Stegostoma tigrinum: one gene and its partners. The protein of the gene in region 1 interacts with the protein of each later gene in a pairwise test. Links are inferred from orthologs where the notes say so. Each region holds a gene or a part of one and is shown in the gene's direction. Other genes may lie near its edges. The genes, in order: mlx, mxd4 and mnta.

Evidence for each region.
Region 2: the proteins of mlx (region 1) and mxd4 interact in a two-hybrid assay, tested with the Homo sapiens proteins (2 studies listed by BioGRID). The link is inferred for Stegostoma tigrinum from reciprocal best matches to the Homo sapiens genes MLX and MXD4.
Region 3: the proteins of mlx (region 1) and mnta interact in a two-hybrid assay, tested with the Homo sapiens proteins (2 studies listed by BioGRID and IntAct). The link is inferred for Stegostoma tigrinum from reciprocal best matches to the Homo sapiens genes MLX and MNT.

The regions. Positions count from the first base shown.
Region 1 is NC_081384.1:1,181-12,107, forward strand, and holds the start of mlx (max-like protein X), read left to right. Parts: upstream 1-5,880; 5' UTR 5,881-5,933; coding exon 5,934-5,975; intron 5,976-8,145; coding exon 8,146-8,182; intron 8,183-10,927. UniProt on the Homo sapiens protein: Transcription regulator. Forms a sequence-specific DNA-binding protein complex with MAD1, MAD4, MNT, WBSCR14 and MLXIP which recognizes the core sequence 5'-CACGTG-3'. The TCFL4-MAD1, TCFL4-MAD4, TCFL4-WBSCR14 complexes are transcriptional repressors.
Region 2 is NC_081356.1:131,304,808-131,314,977, forward strand, and holds the start of mxd4 (max dimerization protein 4), read left to right. Parts: upstream 1-5,142; 5' UTR 5,143-5,432; coding exon 5,433-5,496; intron 5,497-5,613; coding exon 5,614-5,701; intron 5,702-10,170. UniProt on the Homo sapiens protein: Transcriptional repressor. Binds with MAX to form a sequence-specific DNA-binding protein complex which recognizes the core sequence 5'-CAC[GA]TG-3'.
Region 3 is NC_081380.1:36,387,440-36,397,855, forward strand, and holds the start of mnta (max-binding protein MNT), read left to right. Parts: upstream 1-6,046; 5' UTR 6,047-6,594; coding exon 6,595-6,664; intron 6,665-6,990; exon of another isoform or gene 6,991-7,135; intron 7,136-10,416. UniProt on the Homo sapiens protein: Binds DNA as a heterodimer with MAX and represses transcription. Binds to the canonical E box sequence 5'-CACGTG-3' and, with higher affinity, to 5'-CACGCG-3'.

The DNA.
Region 1 (10,927 bases):
ATATGTTTTGGCACTGGTCACACTAGAAATGGCAGGAGTTGATCAGCTGTAAGGTGAGACTGGTAGGGCGGAACCGAAGATCAAGGAAAATCCTCTTATGGTTTTTGAATGGAGGAGAAAGGTGAGGAATGCTGAAAATGATTTTGGTTATGTTCAAGGGCTCTGTCAGTAGAGGGGGAGTCCTTGGTCTAGAATAAAGAAGAACATATTGGCAAAAATTGATGTAAAATGTGGCAACATCAGAACAGATGCCACAGAGATTGAGAAATTTTGTATGGATTAGACTCCATTCACAAAGTATGGCAGGAATAATTGTAATCAAAATAGCAGTGGGAATCAGTGGATTGGCAGTGAATTTTGGTTGACAGCAAAGCTCCCTTTAATTATTTTTTTCTGCTGCACAGACTATGCATTTTTTTAGAATTTTATAAAATCATGAGGGGTATAGACAGAGTTAATGGTAGTTGTCTTTCACAAGGATGGGGATTTTAAGACTGGGGGCATGTTTTTAAAGTGAGAAGAGAGATATTGAAATGACATGAGGGGCAAATTTTTTACATAAAATGTGGGGTTCGTGCGTGGAATGAATTTCCTGAGGAAGTACATTTAGAAGTATGTTTAGAAGACATTTGGATAAGTACATGAATTGTTCATGTACAGAAACGTTTGGAGGGTTGCGGGCCAGGAGCAGGCAGGTGGGGCTGGTTTAGTTTGGGATTATGTTCAGCATGGACTCGCTGGCCTGAAAGGTCTATTTCCATGCTGTATGACTCAGAGCTAAAACATGTGCAGAACTTCCTAGTAGCTGTACAGCCTATAGGGAATGTTGGTTGACAGCCTATCCACTGAAATAATGAGAGAGAAGTTGAAACAGATAAAGAAGAAACAAAGGCTGTTGGAACATTGATCTTACCATTTGTTTTCTGTTGTATATTTTTAGGTACAAAAGGCATGGCAGCTCCTTCAAAAGCGTAGACCTCTCTCACCATCTTAATAAATACACGGATCTTTAGTCTTTTAGACTGACCCAGCTACAAATATTTTTGTACTTCCGCATGTTGTGCAACAATGTGAAAATTGTAACAATGCACTTCAGATAATCATCAACAAATCAATTTGGAAATACTCTGCAATTTCAAAATCAGCCTGTTTCCATTCTTGTTATACAATGAATAGGCACATTAGTAAGCAATTTGAACTTTTGAGCTTGGTTACCATTCAATATGTTCAATACGCCATTCAATAGGTGACCTCCTGCAATTTTACTCACCCTTGATTACCTTGGTACCCAAAGATATAGTCATCTCTTGTCTTTAATATGTCACAACTGAATATCTACAATTCCACTGGAATACTGAACACTAGGTGCACAATGCTTTGAGTGAATTTCTTATCAGAGCACTAAATAGCTGATCCCAATTGTGAACTCCATGGTATGCTATCAAGCCATAAGATCATAAGAAATAGGAACAGGAATTGGCCATTCACCCCCTTGAGCCTGCTCCACCATCCAACATTCCACACATCCACTTTCCTGCATTTTCTCCATAATCCTTGATTACCCTAGTGATCAAAAATCTCAGCCTTAAATATGCTCAAAGGCTTTGTGCCCAGAGTTTTTGATAGGCGAGAAGTTTGAAAGGCGCTCAACCCTCCGAGGAAATTCCTCTTCATCTCAGTCTTAAATTGATTTCCCTGTGGTCAGTTCCTAGACTCTGCTATGACGGGAGGCATTCTCTGCATTTATCCTTGGTTAGTGTCAAGTTTCTTGATTGTTGTTCATCTGGGCAAGTCAGGAGTATTCCACTGTATTCCTGACTTGTGCCTTGTAGATGGTGGACAGGCACTGGGGAGTCAGGGATGAGTTATTTACCGCAGTATTCCTAGACTCTGATCTGCTGTTGTAGCCACTGTATTACTATAGTGAGTCCAGTTCACTTTCTTGTCAATAATAATTATCTGATTTTCAATAGTCTGTCTTCCATGTCTGTAGTAATTTTTAAAAAAAATAAATGTTAAAATATATTTTGCATGTAGTTTTTGATTTTACTAGCACATGCATCCTCACATTACTTTCTTGTTGATGCACGCTGGTTTTAAAAAAAAAAAATTTCATATCTACTTAAAATATATACCGCTTTTGTCATAATGTAATGCCTATGTATCCTAGTAACTGACATTTCTACCCGGGAGAAAGACTCCCAACTATCCATTCTATCCTCGCCTCATAATTTTGTAAACTTCAACCAGGCCACCTCCTCCTCAGATACTTTGACATTCAAGAGAAAAGAAACCAAGTTTGTCTAATCTCCCTTTGTAGCTACTGCCCTTCAAACCAGGCAACATCCTGGTAAACTTGTGATCAGAGATAATGGGAACTGCAGATGCTGGAAAATCCAAGATAATAAAATGTGTAATAAAATTTTATTATCTTGGAATCTCCAGCATCTGCAGTTCCCATCATCTCTGATAATAAAATGTGAGGCTGGATGAACACAGCAGGCCAAGCAGCACCTCAGGAGCACAAAAGCTGACGTTTCGGGCCTAGACTCTTCATCAGAGAGGGGGATGGGGAGAGGGAACTGGAATAAATAGGGAGAGAGGGGGGGTGGATTGGAGATGGATAGAGGAGAAGATAGGTGGAGAGGAGAGTATAGGTGGGGAGGAGAGTATAGGTGGGGAGGAGAGTATAGGTGGGGAGGAGAGTATAGGTGGGGAGGAGAGTATAGGTGGGGAGGAGAGTATGGGTGGAGAGGAGAGTGTGGGTGGAGAGGAGAGTGTGGGTGGAGAGGAGAGTGTGGGTGGAGAGGAGAGTGTGGGTGGGGAGGAGAGTGTGGGTGGGGAGGAGAGTGTGGGTGGGGAGGAGAGTGTGGGTGGGGAGGAGAGTGTGGGTGGGGAGGAGAGTGTGGGTGGGGAGGAGAGTATGGCTGGAGAGGAGATAGGTCAGTCCTCCCTGGACTGACTGAAGAAACTTGTTACCCCACACCATCCCCATCCAAGCCCCTGGCACTGAGCAAGTCCCAGCCAATACCGATAAAGTTAAAATCCTTGTTATTTTTACACTTTCCATTATCTGTCCACATATCTGTTCCTCAATCTCCTGCTGGCTTTTGGGAGGCCTGAAGTACAATCCCATCAAAATGATCGCACCCTTCCTGTTCCTGATATCTCCCCATATGGCTTCAACTGGATGAGCCCTTCATGGTGTCGTCCCTCAGTACAGCTGTGATATTGTCCCCTGTCAGCAAGTCAATTCCTCCGCCTCTTTTACATCCCTTTCTAGCTCATCTGAAACATCTAAATCCTGGAACATTAAGGTACCAGTCTGGAACCTCTCTCAAACAAGTCTCTGTAATAGCTCCAATGTCACATTTATATGTGTTAATCCACCCTCTGAATTCACCTGCCTTACCCCCACATGCTCTTCTCATTAAAACAAAAACAGCTGAGACAACCAGTCGTGCCACGTTCAAAAACCTCTCTCTTTCTGTTATTCCCCTTAGCCTTACTGGGCTTGGTCTCTTAAAAACTGAAAGAACTGTGGATGCTGTAAATCAGGAACAAAAACAGAAGTTGCTGGTAAAGCTCAGTAGGTCTGGCAGCACCTGTGAAGAAAAAGATCAGATTTAATGTTTTGGTTCCGGTGACCCTTCCTCAGAACTGATGGTAGCTGGGAAAACATTGGTTTATATACAGAAAATAGGGGGTGGGGGGGTATGGGGTAGGGAGTAGATGACAGGATAGAGCCTGAAGGGAGAGAAGAGCAGGTGGATAGAAAAAGCAAATTCCATCCCCTATTCCCAATTCCTTCGCCTCTGCTGCGTCTGCTCCCAGGATGAGGCATTCCACTCCCGTACATCCCAGATGTCCTCGTTCTTCAAGGACCACAACTCTCCCCCCCCCCCCCCCCCGCCGCAGTGGTCGAGAACGCCCTTGAGCGTGTCTCCCGCATTTCCCACAACACACCCCGCCCCTGCAATAACCGCCCTAAGAGAATCCCCCTCATCCTCACATACCACCCCACCAAGCTCCACGTACAACGCATCATCCTCCAACACTTCCGCCATCTATAATCTGATCCCACCACCCAAGACATTTTTCCAACCCCACCCTTGTCTGCCTTCCCGAGAGACCACTCTCTCCGTGACTCCCTTGTTCGCTCCACACTCCCCTCCAGCCCCACCACACCCAGCACTTTCCCCTGCAACCGCAGAAAGTGCTACACTTGCCCCCACACCACCTCCCTCACCCCCATTGCAGGCCCCAAGATGAATTTCCACATCAAGCAGATGTTCACCTGCACATCTGCCAGTGTGGTATACTGCATCCGCTGTAGCCGTTGTGGCTTCCTCCACATTGGGGAAATCAAGCGGAGGCTTGGGGACCACTTTGCAGAACACCTATGCTCAGTCCGCAATAAACAACTGCACCTCCCAGTCACAAACCGTTTTAACTCCCCCCTCCCGTTCCTTAGACGACACGTCCATCATGGGCCTCCTGCAGTGCCATAATGATGCCACCTGTAGGTTGCAGGAACAGCAACTCATTCTGCTTGGGGAACCCTGCAGCCCGATGGTATCAATGTGGACTTCACCAGGTTCAAAATCTTCCTTTCCCCCACCACTACATCCCAAAACCAGCCCAGCTCGTCCCTGCCTGCCTAACCTGTTCTTCCTCCCACCTATCCCCTTTTCCCACCTCAAGCCGCACCTCCATTTCCTACCTACCAACTTCATGTTGTCTAAGGAGTGTGAGGGGGAGTTGAAATGGTTCGCAACTGGGAGGTGCAGTTGTTTATTGTGAACCGAGCGTAGGTGTTCTGCAAAGCGGTCCTCTGACACTTCCGTCATCAACAATCCAACCCCACCACCAAAGACATTTTTCCATTCCCACCTTTGTCTGCCTTCCGGGGAGACCACACGCTCCGGGACTCCCTTGTCCGCTTCACACTGCCCTCCAACCACACCACACCCATCACTTTACCCTGCAACCGCAGAAGGTTCTACACTTGCTCCCACACCTCCTCCCTCACCCACATCCACTCCCTACCACCCCACTTATACTCTCCTCTCCACCTATCTTCTCTATCCATCTTCGGTCCACCTCCCCCTGTCTCCCTATTTATTTCAAAATCCTCTCCCTACCCCCGTTTTCTGATGAAGGGCCTAGGCCCGAAACATCAGCTTTGGTGGTCCTAAGATGCTGCTTGGCCTGCTGTGTTCATCCAGCTCCACACTTTGTTATCTCGGATAGAAAAAGGAGTTGATAATGATCTGGCTAGGAGGGTGAATAGGGAGAAGCCGTAACCTTCATTGCCCCATTTAAGAAGTATTTCAATGTACAGTTGCGATTCTAAGGCATACGAGGCATCTTTACACGTGTACTCTTATAATAAAGGCCAAAATATCATTGCAAAGAATACTCGCTGAACCTCAGTCCTGGATCATAAACTGCAAGAAGTTTATGTGAGCACAAATCTCCAGCCATCAGGCAGACCCATCTTCTTTCCACTTGAAGTTCAAGACCTCAAGCTCGAAGCCCTCTAGTTTTTCTACAAAAATTAAAAAAAAGTTTCAGCCTACTTCCTGACTTAACTGAGAGTGGAAGGAACAAAGGTGCTAACCGTAATCTTTAAATATCCCCTAGCCTTGAAGGAAGTGCTGGAAGACTGGAGAATTGCAAACATTACAGCCTTGTTCAAGAAAGCTTGTAAGGGTAAATACAGCAATTACAAATGAGTCAGTTTAACTGTGATGTGAGGAAGGTCCTAGAAATATCTATTCAGGATAGAATTATCTTGATAACAAGGTGATTTGATTAAGACGAGTCAGCATGGATTTCTAAAGGGGAAATACAGCGCTGTCACAACTCTGCTGTTCCACCTCTAGCCACACGGTGGCGTAGCCCGCGGGGTCAGAGGTCAGAGCGGCGCCATGACGGAGCTGAGCGGAGCGCCCGAAGATCCGTTTGGGAGGGTGAGGAATCCACTGTGGGGATCCAGTGAGGGGGGTGGGTTTGGCGGAGGAAGCGGGTCCCAGGTTCAGGCTCAGGCTCCTCCGGATCTGGTGGGACCGCGGCCGTCTGGTGGACACGAGCCGGGACAAGCGGAAAGGCCCCGCGGGTGGGGGAGGGGGGGACGGGAGTGGTGGGGGTGGGGGAGGGGGGGACGGGAGTGGTGGGGGAGGGGGGGACGGGAGTGGTGGGGGTGGGGGAGGGGGGGACGGGAGTGGTGGGGGTGGGGGAGGGGGGGACGGGAGTGGAGGGGGAGGGGGGGACGGGAGTGGTGGGGGACGGGACGGGAGTGGTGGGGGAGGGGGGGGACGGGACGGGAGTGGTGGGGGAGGGGGGGACGGGAGTGGTGGGGGAGGGGGGGGACGGGACGGGAGTGGTGGGGGAGGGGGGGACGGGAGTGGTGGGGGAGGGGGGGACGGGAGTGGTGGGGGAGGGGGGGACGGGACGGGAGTGGTGGGGGAGGGGAGGGGGGGACGGGACGGGAGTGGTGGGGGAGGGGGAGGGGGGACGGGAGGGGGGTGTGGATGGGGGGACGGGAGTGGTGGGGGAGGGGGGTGTGGATGGGGGGACGGGAGTGGTGGGGGAGGGGGACGGGAGTGGTGGGGGAGGGGCGTGGGGATGGGGGGACGGGAGTGGTGGGGGAGGGGGACGGGAGTGGTGGGGGAGGGGCGTGGGGATGGGGGGACGGGAGTGGTGGGGGATGGGGGGACGGGAGTGGTGGGGGAGGGGGGACGGGAGTGGTGGGGGGACGGGGGTGGTGGTGTCGGGGCGAGTGGCAGGGGGGCGGGAGTGGTGGTGTCGGGCGGGGGATGGGAGTGGTGGTGTCGGGTCGGAGAGAGGGAGGGGGCAGGGGGGACGGGAGTGGTGGTGTCGGGGGGGCGATGGGGGACAGGAGTGGTGGTGTTGTGAGGGATCGGGAGTGGGGGTGTTGTTGGGCTGTCGGGGAGTGGGGGTGTTGGGGGTCGGGAGTGGGGCTGTCGGGGAGTGGGGTGGAGGGGGTGTTGGGGAGTGGGGGTGTTGTTGGGGGTCGGGAGTGGGGCTGTCGGGGAGTGGGGTGGAGGGGGTGTTGGGGAGTGGCGGTGTTGTGGGGGGTCGGGAGTGGGGGTGTTGTTGGGCTGTCGGGGAGTGGGGGTGTTGTGGGGGGTCGGGAGTGGGGTGGAGGGGGTGTTGGGGAGTGGCGGTGTTGTGGGGGGTCGGGAGTGGGGCTGTCAGGGAGTGGGGGTGGAGGGGGTGTCGGGGAGTGGGGATGTCGGGGGTGTTGGGGAGTGGGGGTGGAGGGGGTTGGGAGTGGTGTTGTGGGGGCGCGGGAGTGGTGGTGTCGGGGAGTGGGAGTGGTGGGGGCTGAGCTAGGATGAGAGTGAGAGAGAAAGCGGGTGTTGAGGGAGCAGCGGAGAGAGTGGGATTGGGTGGGGGTGCGAGGGAGGGAATGTGTTGGTGTGAGCAGTGGTTGGCTGTTGTGAGAAGGTGTAGGTGAGGTGGGGATGTGAGGGAGGTTGTGGGTGTGAGAGTTGGGGCTGGGGCGTGTGATGGGTTGGGGATGTTGTGAGGCTGGATGTATGGTCATGTGGATGGGGTGTGTGTAGGGGTGTGGGAGGTGGGGCGTTTGGATTGGGCTGGGTGTGTGATGGTGTCAATGGGGTAGGAGTGTTGAAGTAGGACTGGGGTCTGGATGGTGTGGGTGTGGGATTGAGGGTGTGTTGGAGTGGGGTTGGCGATGTTGCTGAGTCAGGTGGTGGGGTCTGGGGGTGTGGGTGGGTGTGAGGTTTTGGGGTTTGAGGAAGTGGGGTTGTTGCTTTGGGACTGGGCGTGAGGGGTTGGGGTGTGAGGAAGTTGGGCTGGGTGTCAGGGTGTGAGGGGCTGGGATTGTTGGGGCGGGGCTAGGCTAGATGGACTGACTGGATGTGAGGAGGTATGGTTGTGTGTGTATGGGAAGTTAGTATTGTGGGAGCAGTCGGCATGGTAGGCTGGATTGCATAGAGTGGTGCAGGACAGTCATTGCGTGGCAGTGATTGGAGGGCAGGGTGGGTGCGCAGAGTGAAGAGCACTTGCAGCTGACAGCGAGAGGAATATGATGTTTTACTTTCATTAAAGTTTTTTTGTCTCCTCTTGTTCTGAATCTTCCCCTGGTTGCAGACTGATTCTTCCTTCAGCGATAATGGCTTTGATTCCGGTGAGTGTAGTGTCTGAAAGCCCACAACAGATTACAGAGTGGGTCAAACTCCTACGTTTCAGGGTTGGGCTTGTTTGACAACGTCGTACAGTTTTCAGTAAATATCACCTCAGCCCAGTTTGCTCCTCCTGTCACCTTGAGGTGATTCCCAATGACACTTTTGTTTTCGATTGTTCAGAGGACCTGTCCCCCAAGCTGATGAGGAGAATTCTTGTGATACAGCGCAGTTGGTGCTTCTGAAGGGCCTTGAGCTGGTATTTACATTTAGTCCAAGTTTTGGAGTCAGAAGAATGACTGACTTATACACAAGGATCTTGGCATCAGCATGTTATCAAGTACTGTCACACGTAGATGCCCAGAGGCAGCACTAACAGAGTGGATGTGGTATTAAATCTCCGCATCGCTCTCAGCTTTAGATCAGAGGTAGGTTAACAGGTGGAGGAAACTTTAAACATTTAGGAGGTTTCCTCCATTGATCTTAATTGATGGACAGACCAGAATTTGCCTTGGGGAAGGTTGGTAAAGATTGGCTAGACCAGCATCCACACAGAGGGATATTGAAGATAAAATGAGTGGACAGAAACTTGTTATCTCAGATAGAATATAATATGGGGAAATGTGAGATTCTGCACTTACATGAAGAATAGAGGAACTGAGTATTATTTAAATGGAGAAAGACTGTAGAAGACTATGGAACAGGGGGTTTTGGGAGTCCTCATCCATGAATCGCAAAAAGCTAGCACCCAAGTTCAGCAGGTAACAGGGAAAGAAAACAGAATTGTTGGCCTTTATTTCAAAAAGGCAATGGAGTATAGAAGTAGGGACATTTTGCTAAATCTGTCATGGTCAGCAATCAGTCACTAAAATGTATGATTGTCTTCTGAGGAAATTCCATGTCACTGATCATGGGTTGTGTGGTTCATTGCATAGCTGCTGATCCTGATCCGAGAACCACCTCTCTTTCTGGGAAGTGTAATTGGCCTTTGGATTTGAGGTCACTGGCGTTCCTTTCTTTGGTTCCTTTTGCATACTTGCTTTTGCTGACGAGTGCTCTCAGAATTTGTACCAAACTTTCCTCCAAGTCTTCTAAACGAGGGTCTCCCATGTGTTGAGATCTGTGTTGCATTTCTTGAGGGGGGAATGCTTTCAGGGAATTTTTGAAATGCTTCTTTTGTCCCTGGTTCCTTGAGCTAGGCTGAGAAGATTTGCTTTGGTCATCAAAACTCAGCTTTCCTAAGCATGTGGCTGGCCTAGCAGCGTTTGTTTTGGATGATCATGACCTTGACGCTGCTGATGTTGGCTGCTTCTAGGACACTTGTTAGTATAGCTGTCCCCCAAGCTGATGAGGAGAATTCTTGTGATACAGCTCAGTTGGTGCTTCTCAAAAGCCTTGAGCTGGTGTTTACATCGAGTTTTGGAGTCAGAAGAATGACTGACTTATACACAAAGATCTTGGCATCAGCATGTCATTGAGTACTCTCATACTTAGACGTCCAGAGGAAGCGCTAACAGAGTGGATGTGGTATTGAATCTCAGCATCACTGTCAGCTTTAGATGAGGGGTGGGTTGACAGATAGAGGAAACTTTAAACATTTGGGAGGATTCCTCCATTGATCTTAATAGAGGGACAGACCAGAACTTGCCTTGGGGACGGTTGGTAAAGATTGTACAGTTCTAGAGTGTGGAAATAGAGGTTTCGGCCCAATTCATCCATGCCAACCAGACATCCCAATCTGACCTACTGCCATTTGCCAGCATTTGGCCAATATCCCTCTAAACGTTTCTATTCATGTACTCAAATCAATTGCCTTTTAAATGGTGTAATTATATCCACCTCCATCACTTCCTCTTGCAGCTCATTCCATGCAGGCACTGTGCTCTGTGTGGAAAAAGTTGCCCCTTAGGTCTTTTTAAATCTTTCCCCTCTCACCTTAAGCCTGTGACCTGTAGATTTGGACTTCCCAGCCCTAGGAAAAAGACCCTAGACCATTCATCCTATCCGTGCCCCTCATGATTTCATAAACTTCTATAAGATCACGCCTCTGCTGCTCATGGGAAAATAAGCCTCAGCCTATTCAGACAAGATAGGAAACAGTGACATTGAAGATGGAGAAGATAGGAACAGTGACACATCCTTACTTGACTTCTGTCTTGACCCAAAGGAATCTATCATGTTATCAGCTGTGAGGACTGTCACTATTTTCTGATGGATGAAATGCAGAACGTTGATAAATTTCTCCAGAAAGCCAGCTTTTGAAAATACTTTCCACGGCACTTCCTGATCGATTGAGGCAAAAGTCTCAGTCAGATCGATGAATGCTATGTAGAGTGATTAGTATTGTTCTTGGCATTTCTGTTGGAGTTGCTGAGCAGTGAAAATCATTATACATGGATTTAAGTAAGGCATTTGGTAAGGTTGCCCATGGCAGGCTCATGCAGAATGTAAGGAGGCATGGGATAGGGGGAAATGTGGCAGATTGGATTCAGAATTGGCTGACCCTTAGAAAAAGGGTGGTAGTGGACGGAAAATTTTCAACATGGTGCTCAGTTACGAGTGTTGTACCACAAGGATCTGTTCTGGGTCCTCCTATTTGTGATTTCTGTAACTGATTGGAAGGGTGGATTAGTAAGTTTGCGGACGATTCGAAGATGGGTCAAATTGTGGGTAGTGCGGAAGGCAGTTCTAGGTTAAAAAGGGATATTGAAAGGATGCAGAGCTGGGCTGAGAAGTGGCCGATGGAGTTT
Region 2 (10,170 bases), on another chromosome or scaffold:
AGGCTATCACCATCTCCAATAAGATGCAATCTAATCATCTAGACATTTAATAATGTTACCATTACTGAATCCACTGCTATCAACATCTTTGGGGTTACCACTTTAGCAGAAACTGAACTGGAGGACTTATATAAACACAGTGGGTACAAGACCAGGTCAGAGGCTAGGAATACTGCTGCATGTAATTCACCTCCTGACTCACCAAAGTACCGTCGACAAGGCACAAGGCAGGAGTGTGATGGAATACTCCCCATTTGCCTGGATGGGTGCAGCCCCAACACTCAAGAAGCTTGGCACCACCCAGGTTAAAGCCCCCACTTAATTGGCACCACATCCACAAGCATCCACTCCCTTGGGGCGGCACAGTGGCTCAGTGGTTAGCACTGCAGCCTCACAGCGCCAGGGGCCCAGGTTTGATTCCACCCTCAGGCGGCTGTCTGTGTGGAGTTTGCACATTCTCCCAGTGTCTGCATGGGTTTCCTCCCACAGTCCAAAGATGCGCAGGTTAGGTGGATCGGCCGTGCTAAATTGTCCTGTAGTGGGATGTGTGGGTTATGGGGGATGGGTCTGGGTGGGATGCTCCGAGGGATGGTGTGGACTTGTTGGGCCAAAGGGTCTGTTTCCACACTGTAGGGAATCTAATCCACCACCGACACTCAGTGGCAGCAGAATGTACTATCCACAAGCATCTGCTCCCTCCACCACCGACACTCAGTGGCAGCAGAATGTGCTATCCACAAGCATCTGCTCCCTCCACCACCGACACTCAGTGGCAGCAGAATGTGCTATCCACAAGCATCTGCTCCCTCCACCATCGACACTCAGTGGCAGCAGAATGTACTGTCCACAAGCATCTGCTCCCTCCACCACCGACACTCAGTGGCAGCAGTATGTACTATCCATCTACAAGATATTCTGCAGAAATTCACCAGTGATATATACACGTGGCATCATTTTCCAAGTCAGGCTGGTGAGTGGCTCGGAGGAGAATCTTGCAAGTGGTTGTGCTCTCATGTATCTGCCGCTCTTGTGCTTCCAGAATGATTGTAACCTTTTTTGGGACATGTTGGTGTGATATTTAAATGCCAGCTCATGTTTGAAACCACAGAAAAATGGGTAATATTGCATTGGGCAACCTTTCATGAAACGTGAAGCATGATGTTTGCAAAGCTGAGGTTTACAAAGCTGGGTGGGAGGGCGAGCTGTGAGGAGGATGCAGAGACGCTTCGGGGTGATTTGGATACATTGAGTTAGTGGGTAAAGACATGGAAGATGACATATAATGTGAATAAATGTGATGGGATTCACTTTGGTGGCTAAAAACAGGCAGATTATTATCTGAAATGCGATGGATTGGGAAAGGTGGAAGTGCACAGCAGTTACTTAAAGAAAAGTACAGCAGGTGGTGAAGAAGGCAAATGGCATGTTGGCCTTCATCGTGAGAGGATTCAAGTACAGGAGCAGGAATGTTTTGCTGCAGTTGTACAGGGCATTGGGGAGACTATACTGTGGACAGTTTTGGTATCCTTCTATGAGGAAGGATGCTCTGGCCATGGACTGAGTACAACAGCAATTTACCAGACTGACTCCTGGAACTGCCAGACTGACTTATGAATGGAGACTGGATCGGTTAAGACCGTATTCACCAGAGGTTTGAAGTACTAGAAACCTGTAACACCCTAACAGGGTCAGACAAGGTAAATACAGCAATGATATTTCTGATGACCACAGAGTCCAGAACCAGAAGTCACAGAATAGGGATTCAGGGTAGGCTATACCACACTGAGATAAGAAGCTTCTTCACCCAGAGACTGGCAAGCCTGTGGAAGTCTGTTGCAGAAAGCAGTTGATGCTAAAGTATTAAATGTTCAAGAAGCTAATAGATATAGGTCTTAAGGTAAAAGAGATCAAAGTGTGAGGGGAGAAGGTGGACCAGGGGACTGAGTTGGATATGTCAACAACCATATTGAATGGTGCATGAGGCTGGAAGGGCCAAATGGCCTACTACTGCATTCAATGCTCAGATATTTTGAGGTTTTGCACTTTGGAAAAAAGAATACAGGCATGGACTATTTTCTAAACGGTGAAAAAATTCACAAATCAGAAGTGCAAAGCGATCTGGGAGTGTTGGTCCAGGATTCTCTAAAGGTTAACTTGCAGGTAGAGTCCGTAATTAAGAAAGCGAATGTAATGTTGTCGTTTATCTCAAGAGGGTTGGAATATAAAAGCAGCGACGTGCTTCTGAGGCTTTATAAAGCTCTAGTTAGGCCCCAGTTAGAATACTGTGTCCAATTTTGGGCCCTACAACTCAGGAAGGACATACTAGCCCTGGAGCGTGTCCAGCAGAGATTCACACAGATGATCCCTGGAATAAGATAATAAAGTGTGAAGTTGGATGAACACAACAGGCCAAGCAGCATCTCAGGAGCACAAAAGCTGACGTTTCGGGCCTAGACCCTTCATCAGAGAGGGGGATGGGGTGAGGGTTCTGGAATAAATAGGGAGAGAGGGGGAGGTGGACCGAAGATGGAGAGAAAAGAAGATAGGTGGAGAGGAGAGTATAGGTGGGGAGGTAGGGAGGGGATAGGTCAGTCCAGGGAAGACGGACAGGTCAAGGAGGCAGGATGAGGTGGTAGGTAGGAAATGGAGGTGCGGCTTGAGGTGAGAGGAAGAACAGGTTAGGGAAGCGGAGTGGGGGGAGGGGATGAGCTGGGCTGGTTGTGTGGTGCAGTGGGGGGAGGGGACGAGCTGGGCTGGTTGTGGGATGGGGTGGGGTAGGGGAGATTTTGAAGCTGGTGAAGTCCACATTGATACCATTAAGCTGCAGGGTTCCCAAGCAGATTATGAGTTGCTGTTCCTGCAACCTTCGGGTGGCATCATTGTGGCACTGCAGGAGGCCCATGATGGACATGTCATCTAAAGAATGGGAGGGGGAGTTGAAATGGTTCACGACTGGGAGGTGCAGTTGTTTATTGCGAACCGAGCAGAGGTGTTCTGCAAAGCGGTCCCCAAGCCTCCGCTTCGTTTCCCCAATGTAGAGGGAGCCTCCCCCCCCCCCACCGCATCCCAAAACCAGCCCAGTTCGTCCCCTCCCCCCACTGCACCACACAACCAGCCCAGCTCTTCCCCTCCACCCACTGCATCCCAAAACCAGTCCAACCTGTCTCTGCCTCCCTAACCTGTGCTTCCTCTCACCCATCCCTTCCTCCCACCCCAAGCCACACCTCCATTTCCTACCTACTAACCTCATCCCACCTCCTTGACCTGTCCGTCTTCCCTGGACTGACCTATCTCCTCCCTACCTCCCCACCTATACTCTCCTCTCCACCTATCTTCTTTTCTCTCCATCTTCGGTCCGCCTCCCCATCTCTCCCTATTTATTCCAGAACCCTCACCCCAACCCCCTCTCTGATGCAGAGTCTAGGCCCGAAACGTCTGCTTTTGTGCTCCTGAGATGCTGCTTGGCCTGCTGTGTTCATCCAGCTTCACACTTTGTTATCTTGGATTCTCCAGCATCTGCAGTCCCCATTATCTCTGATCCCTGGAATGGTAGGTTTAATGTATGATAAACGGCTAAGGATCCTGGGATTGTACTCATTCGAGTTTAGAAGGTTGAGGGGAGATCCAATAGAAACTTACAAGATAATGTATGGTTTAGAAGGAATGGACGCTAGGAAGTTGTTTCCGTTAGACGGGGAAACTAGGACCCGTGGGCACAGCCTTAAAATTAGAGGGGGTAAATTTAAAACTGAAATAAGATGACATTTCTTCAGCCAGAGAGTGGTGGGCTTGTGTAATTCATTGCCGCAGAGTGCAGTGGAGGCCCGGACGTTGGATGCCTTCAAGGTAGAGATCGACAAATTCTTGATCTCATAAGGAATCAAGGGCTACGGGGAGAGTGCAGGGAAGTGGAGTTGAAATGCCCATCAGCCATGATTTAAATGGCAGAGTGGACTCGATGGGCTGATCGGCCTTACTTCCATTCCAGCTGTTTACATACTTAACTAGATAATAAAATGTGAGGCTGGATGAACACAGCAGGCCAAGCAGCATCTCGGGAGCACAAAAGCTGACGTTTCGGGCCTAGACCCTTCATCAGAGAGGGGGATGGGGAGAGGGAACTGGAATAAATAGGGAGAGAGGGGGAGGCGGACCGAAGATGGAGAGTAAAGAAGATAGGTGGAGAGAGTGTAGGTGGGGAGGTAGGGAGGGAATAGGTCAGTCCAGGGAAGACGGACAGGTCAAGGAGGTGGGATGAGGTTAGTAGGTAGCTGGGGGTGCGGCTTGGGGTGGGAGGAAGGGATGGGTGAGAGGAAGAACCGGTTAGGGAGGCAGAGACAGGTTGGACTGGTTTTGGGATGCAGTGGGTGGGGGGGGGGGAAGAGCTGGGCTGGTTGTGTGGTGCAGTGGGGGGAAGGGACAAACTGGGCTGGTTTAGGGATGCAGTAGGGGAAGGGGAGATTTTGAAACTGGTGAAGTCCACATTGATACCATTGGGCTGCAGGGTTCCCAGGCGGAATATGAGTTGCTGTTCCTGCAACCTTCGGGTGGCATCATTGTGGCACTGCAGGAGGCCCAATACAAAATGGCAATATTCACTTTGTCACGTTTCTGTGCATTTCAGCAGGCACAAAAAAAATCAAAAACCAGTCAATTTGTTAAATTAGTCCCACAGCAAAATAAAGACCATTTCCTACAAGCAGAGCTTACCCACAACGTGCCACATTGCCAACAACATCTCCCGAAGGGCGGAGCGCTCCTGGCCCCGCCCAACTGATCAAGACGCGCAGACTGGCCCCGCCCGTCTCATTAGAATGCCCGACCTGGTCGCCCAATGGTAAGGGGAAGGTAGCTCTTTGCATACGGTGGCGTCCGCCAATGGACGCGCAGCCCACAGGGTCACGCGGCCTCTGTTGCTAGGGCCCACGGGTGGATACAGTGATCGGATACACGCTCACGGGAGCCAATGAGCTGAGCTGCGGGCGGACGGCGACTTGTTGATACATCTGTGTCTGTGTCTGGGCGTATGCGCGTGCGCTCGGTGGGGGGGGGGGTGGTGGCTTGGGGAGGGAGAGGCGAAACCTACCCTGACTGTTGTTTCTCGTCCTAGGAGCTCCCCATTGGAGAGAATGGGACTTAGAGCCCGATCTGTCAATCAAATCGCGTCACAATACATCTGGGCTGCTTAGCAGGCTAGGTTGAGGTGACAGAGGGTTTGCAAAAACTTGTCTCTTAGAGTCAGTTGTCTTTGCCTCTCGTTTTAACTTTTTTTAAAAAAGTGTCTAGATATTTTTTGGAAATTTTATTTTCCACCTGTAATTCTCGGACAGGCCATTTTGTTGTAGTTGTTGTTACTAGGTAGGAAAATTACCGCACAAACTATATTTTTTAAATATAAAAAACTCACACACCATCACTTTATCTGGGGAGAAATGGCATTTTTTAATATTCAAACTTTGCTGGAAGCAGCCGAGTACATCGAGAGAAGAGAGAGAGGTACGATTGCAGGGTTTTGTTTGCCTCGCAGTGTCGAATCTTCTCCGGGTGCAGCTCTGTAGTTGTGGTTATGTTGTTTCTGTTTTTTTAAAAAAAAAATTTTTATTTGGCTTTCAGAGGCAGAACACGGCTACGCGTCAATTTTGCCCTGCAACGTCGAATTCAACAGGAAGAAAGGCAAGACGAGGAAAACACCAAATAACAGGTACAAGGAGAGGCCCGGGGAGGGCTGGTGGAGGGGGGTGGCATCGCTGTTTTTTAAATTATATATTTGGCTCTTTAATCTTTCCCAGTCGCCATTTTCCCTCATTTGGGCTTGCCTGTGTTTAGGTCGGATATAAACACTGCCACGCGTACAGTATTCTCTCTTCATATTTTACAGGGCAGCTGCTTCTAGCAACCTCCTGCACATTTCTACTCTGCAAACCCTCCTCTTTTTTTAAAAAAAGTGAAGTTCCTTCCCCCCCCCCCCACCCCATCCTTTTCTTCTTCCACCCAGAATTTAATATCAATTTTAATCGCATTTTTCAAAGATTTTTTTTTTGGTTTTTGACTGTCGCTGCTTCCTTCCCCGTACATGGAGTGTTGATATTTTTATTTAACGTTTCTTCAAAAATAGACATCTAGATGGAAATAAAACCCATTTCTTTCTCCTTTTCCCCCCCGCTCCGCAAAAAGATAAACGGTTTTGCACGTTATTTATTCCCTTAGGTTTGTGAACGTGATGTTGGTTAAATATTCCGATAAGGTTAAGTAAGGTGTAGAAGAAAAGAAAGGTGACTCGTTCCGTCGATTTTTAATTTGTCCTTTTTTAAAAATTTTGAGCGATGTTTTTTTCTCATCCAGATTTTTTTTGGTTTTTTTGTCTGTGGCTGATCTCGGTGCTGCGCCTGCGCCCTGTTTGCTGCTCTAAGTGGGTTGGAGGATAGGCTCCAGCAGTCTCCACTTTGGACCTGTTTCGATCCGCTTCTCCCTGGCCTGTCTGCAGCCTTCACTTGCAAACTCTCATGGCTCTGAGCTCTCGGCGTGCCCTCATTTAGCTGTCTGCGTTTTCAGAAAATCCACCAGTGTGGGTAGAGGCCATTCAGCCCTCACTATCAAGCCTTCTGCAGCAGCTGCTGGGTTTACTGCCCTCTGTCCACCTTGCAAGATTTTTCTTTTAAACTGTTAATCTCTGATGATGGTCATTTGCCCTGCAGAAGCTGTGATTGGAACTTAATTCACTCCCTTCGCTATGTAAAGGCTGCCCTCGTGTTGCATCCAGTTCCTCTTTATTCATAAAATCCTTAGTGTGGAAGCAGGCCATTCAGCCCATCGAGTCCGCACTGACCCTCTGAAGAATATCGCCATCTCCACAACCCTGTATTCCTGATGGCTAATCTACCTGGCACGCACATCCCTGGATTCTATGGGTAATTTAACATGGCCAACCGACATAGCTGGCACATCTTTAGACTGTGGGAGGAAACCCTTGCGGATGCAGGGAGAACGTGCAAACTCCACACACACTTTCACCCAAGGCTGGAATCAGTCCCAGGTCCCTGGTGCTGTGAGACCCTGGTGCTAACCACTGAGTCACTGTGCTGCTGCATTCCTTTGCAGATCACCTTAAATTGCCCTCCTTTTTGTTACATGTTTAGTGGAATCACGTTCTTCCTATCTACAGCATTTAAGACAACTTTTTTAGAAACCATTCTGTTGCGGTTGGTAGTGTCAAATCGTAAATAGCTCACTGTTGCCCTGTATTTCTGATTCTGCGATCATTTCTCCGCATTTGTCGATTGGGATTGATTGTGTTAATGCTACAAGTGCTTTCTTGCACGTTTGCTACACCTCACAGGACCAAACTGCTCAAGTCCCTGCCAGTTCTGTCTAGCTCACCCCACTCTGTCCTAGTGCCCTCCTCTGTCCCTGCCTGTTTGATTCCCTCGCGTGTCTCAGTCAATTTTTCTGAAATGGGTAGCACCATTTTATCTCTGAGATCGGCAGTTCATGGGTATGGGGTGGGAGGGGGAAGGTTCCCAAGTCCTCATGTCATTCTTTAGCGAGACACCCAGTGCTGGGTTACTGCCTGTCCAATCCCGAGCCTTTTTCCAGACGTGACTACAGCCATTGCCTGACAGGCACCTGGTATGATTCAGCCTGTGTTAGAGTAACTTCCTTCACCGTTTTAGGTGGTGTCACTCTGTCTGTCTGATGCAACTTGGCTCGGTTTCACCCGACAGGTGAGAAGGTTAGATTTTTGTCATTACTAGACTCTAAGCACGTACTCACTTAAGACGTAAATTGCTTAAGAGATTTTTCAGTTTTCCTGGGAATGGAGGCCTGGAGAACCTTTTTGGCCACTTCTCTAGTGATTCCTCTACCTTCACCTGATGTATCTATCGCAGCTCAGCAGGGGTCACTGGTTAACAATGTGAACCTTTTTTTCTTGAAAACCCCACCACTCTGCTCTCACTTCTGACTGAATAGCTTACAATTATGTTCCCTTGTGATTGAATGAAGGGCCCTTACTGGACTACAGCTGCTGCCTGTCCAGGGATCCATTGGTGACTGGGATTTAAAGCCCTTGTACCTTACTGCAGCTAGCAGTTAGTGCCTATTGTGTGAGGCCACGTCTGGCATTCAGGTGTGTTTTGGCCTCTGTATTTGACAGTGTGTAATCTAGTTGCATTAGGCAGCAATTCAGCAGAAGTTTGCTTGGTTGATCCCTGTGGTGAAGAGAGAGTTGAGCGGGATGGACTGGTACCTGTTAACACCTCTCCTTGTGGAGGCCACGAACACATAGAGGCCACAGCTTAAGGTGGAGGAGGAAGGAGATTTTCCTCTGGTGTATATGGATCCTCAGGAAGCAGTGGAGAATGGGCCTTCAAATTTATTCAAGGCAGAGTTGAATTTTTGACGAGGAAGCTGAGGCAACTCTTGTACTCGCATGACCATCTTCAACAATATCACAGCTTCACAGACAGAGTCATAGAGATTTACGGCACAGGAAAAGGCTGTTTGGCCCATCTTATCCATGCCAGTCATTAACGACCACCAAATTATTCTAATCCCGCTTTCCAGCACCAGTCCTTGTATGTCTTGGCATTGCTGCTGCTTCTATGTTATGCCTGTACCATGTTTTTAGAGTTCCAGATTCCCACCACCTTCTGGATGCAAAATACTTTTCCTGGCATCTTCTCTACAACTTCTCCTTTTCTTTAAAGCTATCCTCATTCATCCCTCCAGGGTGAAATGTTTCTTTGTATCTATCGTATCTATGCCCGTCAATTTTATGTATCTCAGCCTTGCCTCCCCTCAGTCTCCTATGCTTTAAGGAAAACAATCACAGTTTGCCCAGCCCTCTTCATAACTGAAACTGTCCAGCCCAGGCAATATCCTGGTGAATCTCCCCTTGACCCTCCCCCTCCTGTATTGTGTATTTTATAACTGCACACAGTGGTCTAGCTGTGGTCAACCAACATTTTATACAGTTCCAGCATAAACTCCCTGCTCTTAAACTCTCAGCCTTGTTTCAATACACCGCCTTAACCACTTTACCCACCTGCCCTGGTACCTAAGGGACTGGTGTACGTCTGCACCAAGGACCTTCTGACACAGTGCTTCCCAAAGTCTACCAATCATTGTATAAATCCGTTTGAGGAAGGGTCACCAGACATGAAACACTAACTCTGATATTTCTTCACAAATTTTGCCAGGCCTGCTGAGCTTTTCCAGCAACTTCTGTTTTTGTTCCAGTGCTCTTGGTTTTTAATTCCCTTGTCTTGTTTGTCCTGCCCAAGTACATCACCTTTCACTTTTGCAGATTGAATTCCGTTTTCCACTGCCCAGTTTGTCTGAGGGTATATTAGTAAGTTTAACCATAACATTGTACCTCCTTCTCACCCTGAGGGCACAAATTTTGTTCTGACATTGTGCCAGTTTTGTGGGATACCAGTCTGCCCACCTACAAGGGGCACACTGGCAAAGTGTGGTTCGTTTTGTAATAATCCAGAGGCCAGGACTTGACCAAGAGATCACAAGCTGAAGCCTCACCGTAGCAGCTGGGCAAATTATACATTCAGTTCCTTAAATCTGGAATAAAGATGTGCTCCGATCAAGAGCGACTACGAAACTAGAATTTGCTGTCCTGGGGAATGAAATTTGTCATCCTTACCTGGTCTGATATCTGTGTCATTTCCATGCTTGCAGTGTTGTGGATGACTCTTAACTTGCATCTGAAATTGCTGAGCAATTCTTTTCAAGGCAGCATTTTACTATCCTCCTCCTCGAAGGTAATTGTCCTCAGTGTTGGCCCAGACAGCCTTGACTACATCACTTTTAAACACTCTCTATAATGTTCCTCTGTAATCATAAACAGTAACTGATGCCGAGCTATCGAGCAGAGAGGAGGAAATTAGATTAACTTAATCAGTGAGAACAGTTTCCTCTCCTCTCAGCTTATTGCTTCCCAGGAAAAAAAAAAGAGCTAACTCAGCAGAGGTGAGGTGATGCCGATTCAATCCTTGGCTTTTTTTTAAAGTTTATGGGATGTGGAAGCTGCTGGCTGCTCTGGTATCTCTTGTCTTTCCTAGTTGCAATTGAGAAGGTGGTGGTGAGCTGTCAGCTCGAACCGCTGCGGTCCATGTGCTGTAGACGATCCCAAATGCCCTTTAGAGAGGGAATTTCAGG
Region 3 (10,416 bases), on another chromosome or scaffold:
TCCTGCAGTGCCACAACGATGCTACCCGAAGTTTGCAGGAACAGCATCCCATATTTCACTTGGGAACTCTGCAGCCCAACGGTATGAATGTGGACTTCACAAGCTTCAAAATCTCCCCTCCCCCGACCACATCCCAAAACCAGCCCAGCTCATCCCTGCCTCCCCAACCTGTCCTCCCAACTATCCACTCCTCCCACCTCAGACCCTCACCCCTATCTCTACCTACCAGCCTCATCCCACCTCCTTGACCTGTCTGTCCTTGCTGGACCGACCTAGCCCCGCCCTAACTCCCCACCTACACTCACCTTTACTGGCTGCAACCCTGCCTCTTTGACCTGTGTGTCTCCTCTCCACCTATCTTCTCCTCTACCCATCTTCGATTCGCCTCCTCTTCTCGCCCTATTAATTTCAGAATCCCCTTCCCCATTTCTGAAGGAAGGTCTGGACCCAAAACGTCAGCTTTCCTGCTCCTCATGGCCTGCTGCATTCATTCAGCTCCTTGATTTGTCAGATTCTCTAGCATTGGCAGTTCCTACTATCTCTGTAACAAATATCAGTCAATGCTTGTCATGGTATGACAATGGACTTTGTCTAATTTATCCAGAAGACTGTTTTGACTGATGGGGAATAACTTGTGACAGCTCTGTTGAAGCTTGTTTGAAATCCCAATTCTCATATTTTACAGCTTCATTTGACCATGTCAACAAATGTGTTTTCTTAAAATAACTAATTTTGTTAACATGTAAATGTTGAAAATCAATACATTTTATGTAATATTTCGAACAATCTGAAATAAATACAAATGTCACCCATAACTATTGTAAATCCAATGGCAGTTCCACAATTATTCTTGGATGCAATGGTGTTCAAAAACAAACACAAGTAGATTTCAGATCATCCAAGACATTGCTCACAAAGAAGAACTTTTACATAATATTTGTAGCAATGAACCAGGTCATTCAATCCAATGGGGCCATGTGCCTCACATAAATAAGTTACTGTCCAGGATACCATGTGACAGATGGGGCAATTCTTCACCCAGAGAATGTTGGACAAGTGACAGCATGCCCCGTGAGATAGAAGGCTTCAAGACTGCCAGATTTACTTTCTTTTCTTTCTCCTCTCCATCATTCTGACTCATCATCAAGACACTGGGACATAACTTATCCACCAAGCTGTATCATGCTATCGATATTCAATTTTGAATGATTGGTAGCAAGTTCCTCCCAGGCATTAAGCTCAAAGTTACTATCCTTCAAGAGTGCTTTACAGTTTAAAGTTTTTGAGAAGACTTGTAGCTTGGTTTGTGGATGAGGTTGTAGACTTGTTTACTAAGCCAGTGAGTTTGATTCTATCACCGGCTCAGCAAGCAAGCCTACAACCTCAGTGTTTCAGAGTGTGTTAGAAACATTTTCTTTATACTCCCCTGAAATGTTCATCATCTGAGAATTGAGAAGACAGGAGCAGTTGGGGGAAATGGTTAATGGCAATTTGGATACAATGGCCAGTTCATCAAAATGAATTTTTCCAAAGTTATGACTAAATCCTGTGCATCTGGTTTCAAGAAGGACATTGACACTTGCTTGACGATCCTTTCAATTAAGTTCGAGGATGTGGTAGAGGCATCACTACTGGAATCCTCTAGGACTCATTACACTCTGCCGATACACAGTCCAGATCTTAGTGTAGTACACAAGTGTGATGATGACAACTATCTGGACACGAGGATTTCTGTTGATGTGGAGGTCTTGTCTGTCAAACATTCAGGGCCATTGTATTTAGAAGGCCAAACTGCCACAACTGATGCAATGATGAATCTCCTTGTCAGTGGAGAGGTGGCTACCAAGATATGGGCAATGCTTAATATATTTCAGTCTCTCCTTCAACATGTATGGGGAGTAGAATTTCTTTTGCCAATCGGCTACAAGGGTTGACATTGGCAATGTTAGTGGATATGCTGTATGTAGAATTACAGAGATTGAGAGTGGCAAGTGAAAGCAGGTACAGTGGGACTGGTAGCTAGTCCCTGATGTCTCTTGCCTTGCTAATTGGTCCATGGTTAGGAAAGTTTGTGAACTACTGCCCCAATTGGCAGTGGTTCGTTTGGAATATATATTTTCCCATTCTATTAATTGTACAGCAGTATTTGAAGAAACGGGCTTCTATTTGTTTGGAAACAAAACTTTTTAGGCAATTTGACATCTAATTTTGGCATTGTACAGGGGAAAATATCTTGATGAAACAACTAACGGATTAGCTTGCGTTAGTTTGGGTAGATTTGGCATTGGATGATAAATGCTAGCCTAGCTAGTGACAACCCACCACTCAACAAACTAAAAAGTATAAAAAAAGAAACTGCTGTAAAATGCAATATAGAGCTTCTTTTAAAGTTTATTTTACATGAATAATCTGTTGCAATCTGTGCATAATAGTCCGTAATCAAGAGACTAGAACATGATCAATTACTTGAAAGATTTATGAGTGAAGATGGGCCGAAAAGATCTTGTTTTAAAAATGCTTCCAAAAGCAAAGTTACTCAGACTGGCATGAGCTGGGAATTGGTGTTCCATGCAGGGTTTGACGCTGGCACCACTTCTGAACAGTATTTACACAAAACACTTGGACTTGGGAATCAGAACATCTTTAAAATTCATGGATCGTTGAATCATAATTATAATACCCTCGAAAAACTGTGGAAAACTTCACAAAGTCTTTGATGAACTGTCAGACTTAAAAAGTAAAGGTAAAGTCAGAGCAATCTTACCAGACCATACAGCTCCTTCCTCAATAGCAAGACACCATCTGGTGATGGTTTAACCTGAGGATCACCACACCTCAGGCAAGGGGAGTTATTGAGAAGGAGAGTCCTTTGTGGGAACGTCAGCCAGTACAGAAATTGAACACATGCTGTTGGTCATCACTCTGCATTACAACCAGCCATCTACCCATCTGAGCTAACCCACCTCCTATTTTCAGAATTAACATGCAAGTAGAAAATTTAGTTCAATATTTAACTGTGAACTAGTCATTTATTAGGAGAAATAAAGAGTTCAAAATAATCCTTGAAATATAAGAGTCTCAATGGTGTTTAAAAGTAAAGGGTTCTTGGTGTGCATGTTCATAAATCATAAGAAATAGCAACAGAAGTTAACAAGGATATAAAAGTCCTAACCAAACCATTGGAGTAATTTCCAGAGCAATAGAATTGAAAATGAGTGAAGTTGTGTTAACCATTAATAGAGCATTGGTTAGACCACATTTGGAGTAATATGTACAGTTCGGATCTCTATACTTAACACAGAGGTGAAGCAAAAATAATTTACAAGAATTATACCAGAACTCAGAGCTTATAATGATTAGACAAAACAGAATAAATTAGATGGGTGTTTAATAAAATAGAAGTAGAGATGTGTCCACTACAGAGAGTAGTCCAAAATTAATACTAAGTATAGTAATTAACAAATCCCAACAAATATTGTAAGAGCAATGCATTTACCGTGTCTGAGTCTGAAATGCACATGGAGTAGGTTTTGTTTCAAGCAGATATCAGAGGAATATAGAGCAGGAGGATTTCTGCAAATAAATCAAGGATCTAATGAATCATCTGTAATTGTATATCACAGCAATAGGGAGGGATTAAAGAGCCAGGCTCCCTGTCAATGATTGTTGTCCTGTAGTTACTGCTGGAAAGTACATACATATCTTACATTTGTGCAGAGCTTTTCATTTAATTATAATTTTATAAAGGCATGCCCAAGGCTTCACAGGTGCAATAGCAAACAAAATCTGACACTCAAACAAATAAAGATTAGATCAGATGACAAAAACTTCGGAAAGAAGCAGTTTTCAAATATCTCAAAAGAGGCAAGATAGAGCAGTTTAGGGAGGAAATTACAGAACTTGGATATGGTTGTCAATGATGGACAGGTAGAATTTGGTGATGCATAAAAGGCCAGAGTTAGTAAAGCATAAAGAATATCATGGTAATTTAATCCATCCTGCTGGTGCTGATTCTCTGAATGATTTGGCTAAAGTAATCCCATTGCTGAGGTTATTCTTCCCCATAATATTTTATTCATAAAATTTGTGAACTGATATTACAAAAAAATCTTGAATGTTGACGATTTTGCAATAAAATTCAACTTGTTTATTGATACAATGCTGTATGTTTGTTCCCTTTCGAAGTATCCAAATAAAATTTTAACGCTGACAAGATACATTCTGTATTTAGCATTCAGAAGGCAGAATGAAATCAAATTGAAAATTACAAAAAGTGCATTTAAAATAAATCTTCTTTCAACATTATATTCCACTCTGAGGTACCTCGGCACAATTTCAACGATGTTCACAAGGTACCTTATTTGTCTGTTTCTAAAGTTTCCAGTTTCTCAGAGTGCTGTGGCTGAAAGTCGTTAAGCAGAGACCCCTCCCATTGTAGTTTGCACCACCATACAGGCTACATTTTGGTGCTTGTTTCGAAACTCTGGCAACAGATTTTTTTCTCTCTCTGCAGGGCCTTGGGGGCGTTACGAGCTAATCGCTCCCTGTCAGACTTGTGGAGGAGTCATTTTGCCTGAACCTCGCATAAACTTCTCTGCGAGGGGCAGACGATAACAGCACAGTCCAACTACCTACTTCCCAATGCCTAGAAAATGTATTAAGTAAGGACGGTCGCATTATCGGCTAACTGTGCAACTCTATCCTCAGCATGACCCAACACCTTCAGCACAAACGGAGGAACAACGTTGACAAATGAATGAATGCAACCAGAGGGCAGCATGAATCATGGGGTTGAGAATGAAGTTTGAGTCGGATGGTTTGATTTAAAAGGGAAAGGGAGTTGTTATTTTGCAGAACTGTAGTTAAGTCGATGTATAAAGTTGCTGCTGCCAAGCATTTAATTCTGTGCAGGCTTAAATCCAGATTTGGAAATTGATGATGTTTTCTTCCCAGAAGGGAGACTGAATAATCCCTAACATTTATTTGGATTTTCCAATATTCGCAATGTGAAGTATGATTTTTGTCCAAACTTCTAATTGTATTAACCGCCCCTCCTAGAGTTGGCAATTTGGATTATGATCGATAAATACACTTTGTAAAGAAGTTTTCAAACATTAAATTACGTGCGCCGCACCTTTCAGCATTTCATTTATTTCTGTTAATGGCTTCTTCAATTCCTCCAGCACCTAAAAAGTTAAAGACGACATGAAACATGTGACGTCTAGTTATGGAGTTTAAAGCTAGCGCAGCCCATCGCCTCCTACCCCCCCCCCCCACTTTGCGCCAATAACGTGCTTTTATTATCATTTTGTCTCGTGAACAAATTACGGTCACTGTCACTGACTCACAGGTCACACGGTTTCGAGTGAAAATTTGCACTTTATTTCACAAGTCGACCTGTAACTGACCACGGCTAGACTCCAACCTTAGATCCGCCCCTTTAAATATCATGCGTCGCGTTCGTTCCAAGCCCCGCCTTCACCACGTTGTTCTTCTGCTGTTTTGTCAAACACGACTTTGCACTCTTCCGCATCCTCTGCCTCCTGATACCACACCCTACCGAGTGCGAGCCGCCTCCATTTTGTACTTTCCTTATCAACAACCCCCCCCCCCCAAAAAAAAGCGCACGGTCGTGCCGCAAGTGCATTGGCAAAGCGCCCGAGAAACCTCTCACTAATCCGCACACGGACCTGTGGCGCGCACCAAGCACGTTGGACTATGGTGGATTTCCAGTATGCCCATAGTACACACAGAATATAGCGCAAAAAGGCAAAGACACAGGCTCCTCGAGTAAGAGCGCCCTACACACTAGCATTAACTGTTGCCCTAAATGAATGAGATCATTTCCAGCAAAAGCAAGCGGCAACACCCCTCCCCCCGCCATTCAAATAAAAGTTATTTTCAATCACTGTCTCTTTATCCTAATAAACCTGCGGTGGATTAACGCAGATGGGCGTCCATGTGAAAATACTACTGTTAAGCCTTCTCCAGCGTGATTGGTGTGAGTGTCGGGGTGGATCAAATGAGATGTAAATGAGCAGCACGATGCGAACCGAGCTGGTTGTTTGGAAACACTGGTGAATTTCCAGCGAACGTTTCGTCTCAATCGGATACATTGCAGCTTCGGATTGTTACTTAACGTTCGAAATTGGAACGCGACGCTTCCGCAATGAGTTGGATCCCGATTCGCTGAAGGCGAGAGTCCCAGGAATTCAAGGGACGTTGAGCAAAAAAAAATCTCAAGCATCTCCCGTTTCGGCGTGAGATCTGGGACGTAGTTTGCGTAGGGCTGCTAGTGGGCAGTATTACCGCTTGTTGTGATTACTGGATTTTGGGGCTGTATACTGCGCCATCTTGAGACTTCTTTTTCTCCCCCCCACCACCCCCCCACTTCTCAATCCCTCATCTGAAAGATTCTGGGGGGTTTAAAGGATATCTTGTTTGCTCTTTCACTCGGTCTACTGGGCCTGTAGAAGGCGGCCAAATTAAAACTTAGTCTACCCCACCCCCGGCCCCCCTTGGTTGCCTGATCCCACAACCACAAAAAGAGAAAAATCACCCCCTTTTAAAAAAAAGTGATTGATAGGATCGAGCATGAGTATCGAAACACTCCTGGAAGCTGCAATGTTTTTGGAATTGCAAGCGCAACAACAGAAAACACGTGGTAAGAGAGCGCATGGATGTAACATTTCTGTCTCTCTCTCTCTCTCTCTCTGACCAATGCGGATACTCGTCTGTTTTTTGTTATTCTGGCCCGGCTTTCTGAAAATCCGTATAGCCTTTCATTATTACACGATCCTCTTTAGATTGTTGCACTTTGGATGTTACATTGTATTGTTACATATAAGTGATAGTACTAGACATTGTAATAATGTTTATGGCAGGAAACGATAACGTGATTATTTTCATTCAGAATTTTTCGAGGCAAGTCATTTGACGTAAAATATAGCTTTTCTAGTAAAATCACGTAAAGTAATTAGGATCATTTACCAGTCAGCATCGCTGTAGGTTTCGGATGTAACTGACTATTTTTTTCTGTGGTGAGCTACACATTTGTAATAAGGTTGACACGTGGAGATGTTCAAATTTTGGATAATGCTACCCGCTTATAGTGCACCAAAGCCAGTCGATTGTACCGTATACTTATGATTTAAGGAATTCTTTTCCAGGGGCAGGGCCGAGTCAGACGTTCAAAAATACTGTAGTCTGTTTGCATAATGACGTGTCGTGGCATGGGGTGGAGGTGTCATATGATACTTGGTAGTTCCGCTTTTTTTGTTGCAGTTTTTATTCAGTGTTGTTTGAGTTAATCCGACCCTCTTTTATTCTTGAATGTAACGGAAGGCGGAAGAGGCAGGGAGATACATTGTAGTGAGGGATGTCGCAGAGCCGGCGTTGCTGGCATCTCCCTCAGCCTCATCTCCACGAGCTATTGTTAATAATAGTGCCAGTGTATTTTGTTCAGCCTGACGTGTCTGACTCCTCCCCGCTACCACGTGCATTGGGACAAGCCTGCCTTCCGTAAATTCAGATTCACCTTACCTATTCAGAAGCTCTCCAGCAGCAACACACGTTACAAATATGGTGGTGCGATTTTTTTCAGTTCTACTGGTCAGTTATCAACTGACCGAGCTTCCCGCCCCTTTATTTAACAGCTGTCGAGTATCCTCACGCCTTTGGCGTTTTCCCTTTAATTTCTAGCCTTGCTGTCACACAGTTGCGTTTCCTGACGATCGTGGGCGGTGATCGCCTGACATTCCACACTACTGTGTGCACTTCACCTTGGATGACTACGCCTGAGACGGTCGATTTTAGATTAAATCAAATCATATAGGGGTACAATACGAAAAAAAACAATGATACTTCTCCGGGCGGGAGACGTGTATTAAAACATCTCCTTAAGGAGAGCTAAATAACATTCACGCTTTTCATTCACAATAGCGGACTAAGACTTCATCTCTGTCCCCCGTATCATAAAATCTTGTCCCGAGACTGCGTTATTGTTTCGCCACAAACCCCCACAGATATTGAGGATTTCCCCCCTCCAAGAAACTACATTCAGAATTGAGTTTAGCAGCCTTGCCATGCTGTTACTCTTCATTTTTGATACTGGGCATACGATGGTCTGGTAGTATTATCGCTGGACCGTTAATCCAGTAGACCCATCTAACGATAGACTCGGGTTCGAATCTCGCCGTGACAGATGGTGGAATTTGAAATTTGGAATTCAGGATCTAATGATGACTATGAATCCATTTTTGATTGTTGGGGGAAACCCTTTGGAAACTGCCATCCTTACCTGGTCTGGCCTACGCGTGACTCCAGATCCACAGCAGTGTGTTGACGCTGAACTGCACTCTGAGCAATTAAGAATGGGCAATAAATGCTGCCCTCTTCCCATTAATGAATAAAGGGAAAAACTTGTCGAAAAACAATGTGTACTGGCGGAGAGAATTATCTTGTGAAAGAGTTGACCTATTCGGCACTTTTTGGCTGCACAACAAAAGCAGGATGATGCTCTTTCATCTCTGCTGCTCCCCGGCCCTCATCCTCAACTGTCATTTGTGGGTGTAAACAAGCTGGGAGCTGGGAGCAGGGAGTTGCCAACATTGCATTCCCATTAAAAACCTGGCCAATGGATGTCTTTTGGAGTTTAACGTTAGTAGAATGAATAAGAGAAGCTGGTCCTTTTGTGTTTCTGAGATAATGGGAACTGCAGATGCTGGAGAATCCAAGACAACAAAATGTGAGGCTGGATGAACACAGCAGGCCAAGCAGCATCTCAGGAGCACAAAAGCTGACGTTTCGGGCCTAGACCCTTCATCAGAGAGCACCTTTTGTGTCTCTGTCTTGATAGGAGTTTAAGAAATAGAAGGAGACATATGTCATATGGTCTCTCAGATCTGTTCCTCCATTTAATGAGATCAAGTGTGATCTTGATAATTCACTGCCCTGTCTCTCCAATCTATTTTATGATTCCTGTTGAATACAAACATCAATTTTTAGCCTTGTATTCAAGGGCTGAGCATTCACGGCTCTCTGGGGTTGAGAATTCAAAGATTCACAATCATCTGAGGGAAGATAGTTTTCCTTACCATAGTTCTCCATGGCTGAATGTTTATCCTGGGACTATGCTCCTTAGATTCTTCATCAGGGAATACAAACTTTCAACAGCTACGGTGCCGTGCCCTGTCAGAGTTTCAACTTGAGACTTTCGAAAACAGGCCTTTTTTACTCAATCTCTCTCAGGACAACTCTCATCTCACAGCTCAAAATCACTCAAGCTTCCTTAGGCATGGTGACCAAAACTGCAAAAGTGTAATTTCACGAAAGCCCTGTACCTTGCAACAAGAGCTCCTTTGCTTGTACTCCAACACAATCGCAATAAAAGGCAACATTTCACTTGCTTTTGTAATTGCTGGGTGGACCTGCATGTTGACTTTGGAGTATCTTTGGAACATTAATCAGAATTTAATACTTCCTCTTAATTTTAAAAAAAAAGTTTAGTTTTTGGTTCTATACCAAAGTTCTATAACCTTGCAGCATCCTCATCAGAAATTTTTCTCTAAAATCACATTTTTTCAATTAAGCATAAAAATATTTTTGTTGAATATGTGCACTACCGCAGTTCTTTCCTGGGACTATGACCTCTGCCTATTGATTGTTTGTTTATTTTTTTTTCTACAGATAAAAGCCATTGTCAATGCAAATTTGCTGCAATGGGAGCCCTAATCCAGGGGTAGATCCTTATCCTGACTGTGACAGGTTGATTCATTGTCAAGGGTTCATTCCCATTTGGGGGCAGGCAAAGGGAGAGCTGTATACTATGTCTGACAGCTCTTGTGCAGAAAAACCTTGTGCTAATTTTATGCTTTCAGACTCCATACCTTCCACATATTCCCCCATCCACAGTAATATCCTTTGTTGAAAGTGTGTTTTTATATCTGCCAAAGAAAACATACTTTTGTTCAAATTATCAGCAGGTTTGCCTTGTGATAAAGCAGACAGAGATGAAGTGAAACTGATCCTTTTCCAGTACCAAATTATCTAGGCTGAATGGATACAACTGGCTTTCATCTTTATGTTAGGGAAGAGGAGAAGAATCATGATTGCATTCTGGATTGTCCAGTCATCTCTGCAGGAGAGTGAGAATGTTAGTTGGGGACAAGATAGCACTTGTGTGATAGCATTATACAGCAATGAAACAGACCCTTTGGTCCAACTCGTTAATGCCGACTAACTTTCCCAAACTAACTTGGTATTGCATGCGCTTGGCCCATATCTCTCTAAACCGTTCCTATTCATGTACCTATACAAATAGCTTTTAGATGTTGTAGCTGTACCTGCAGCTACCACCTCCTCTGGCAGTTCATTCCACACACAAAGCACCATCTGTGTGAAAACATTGCCTCTCGG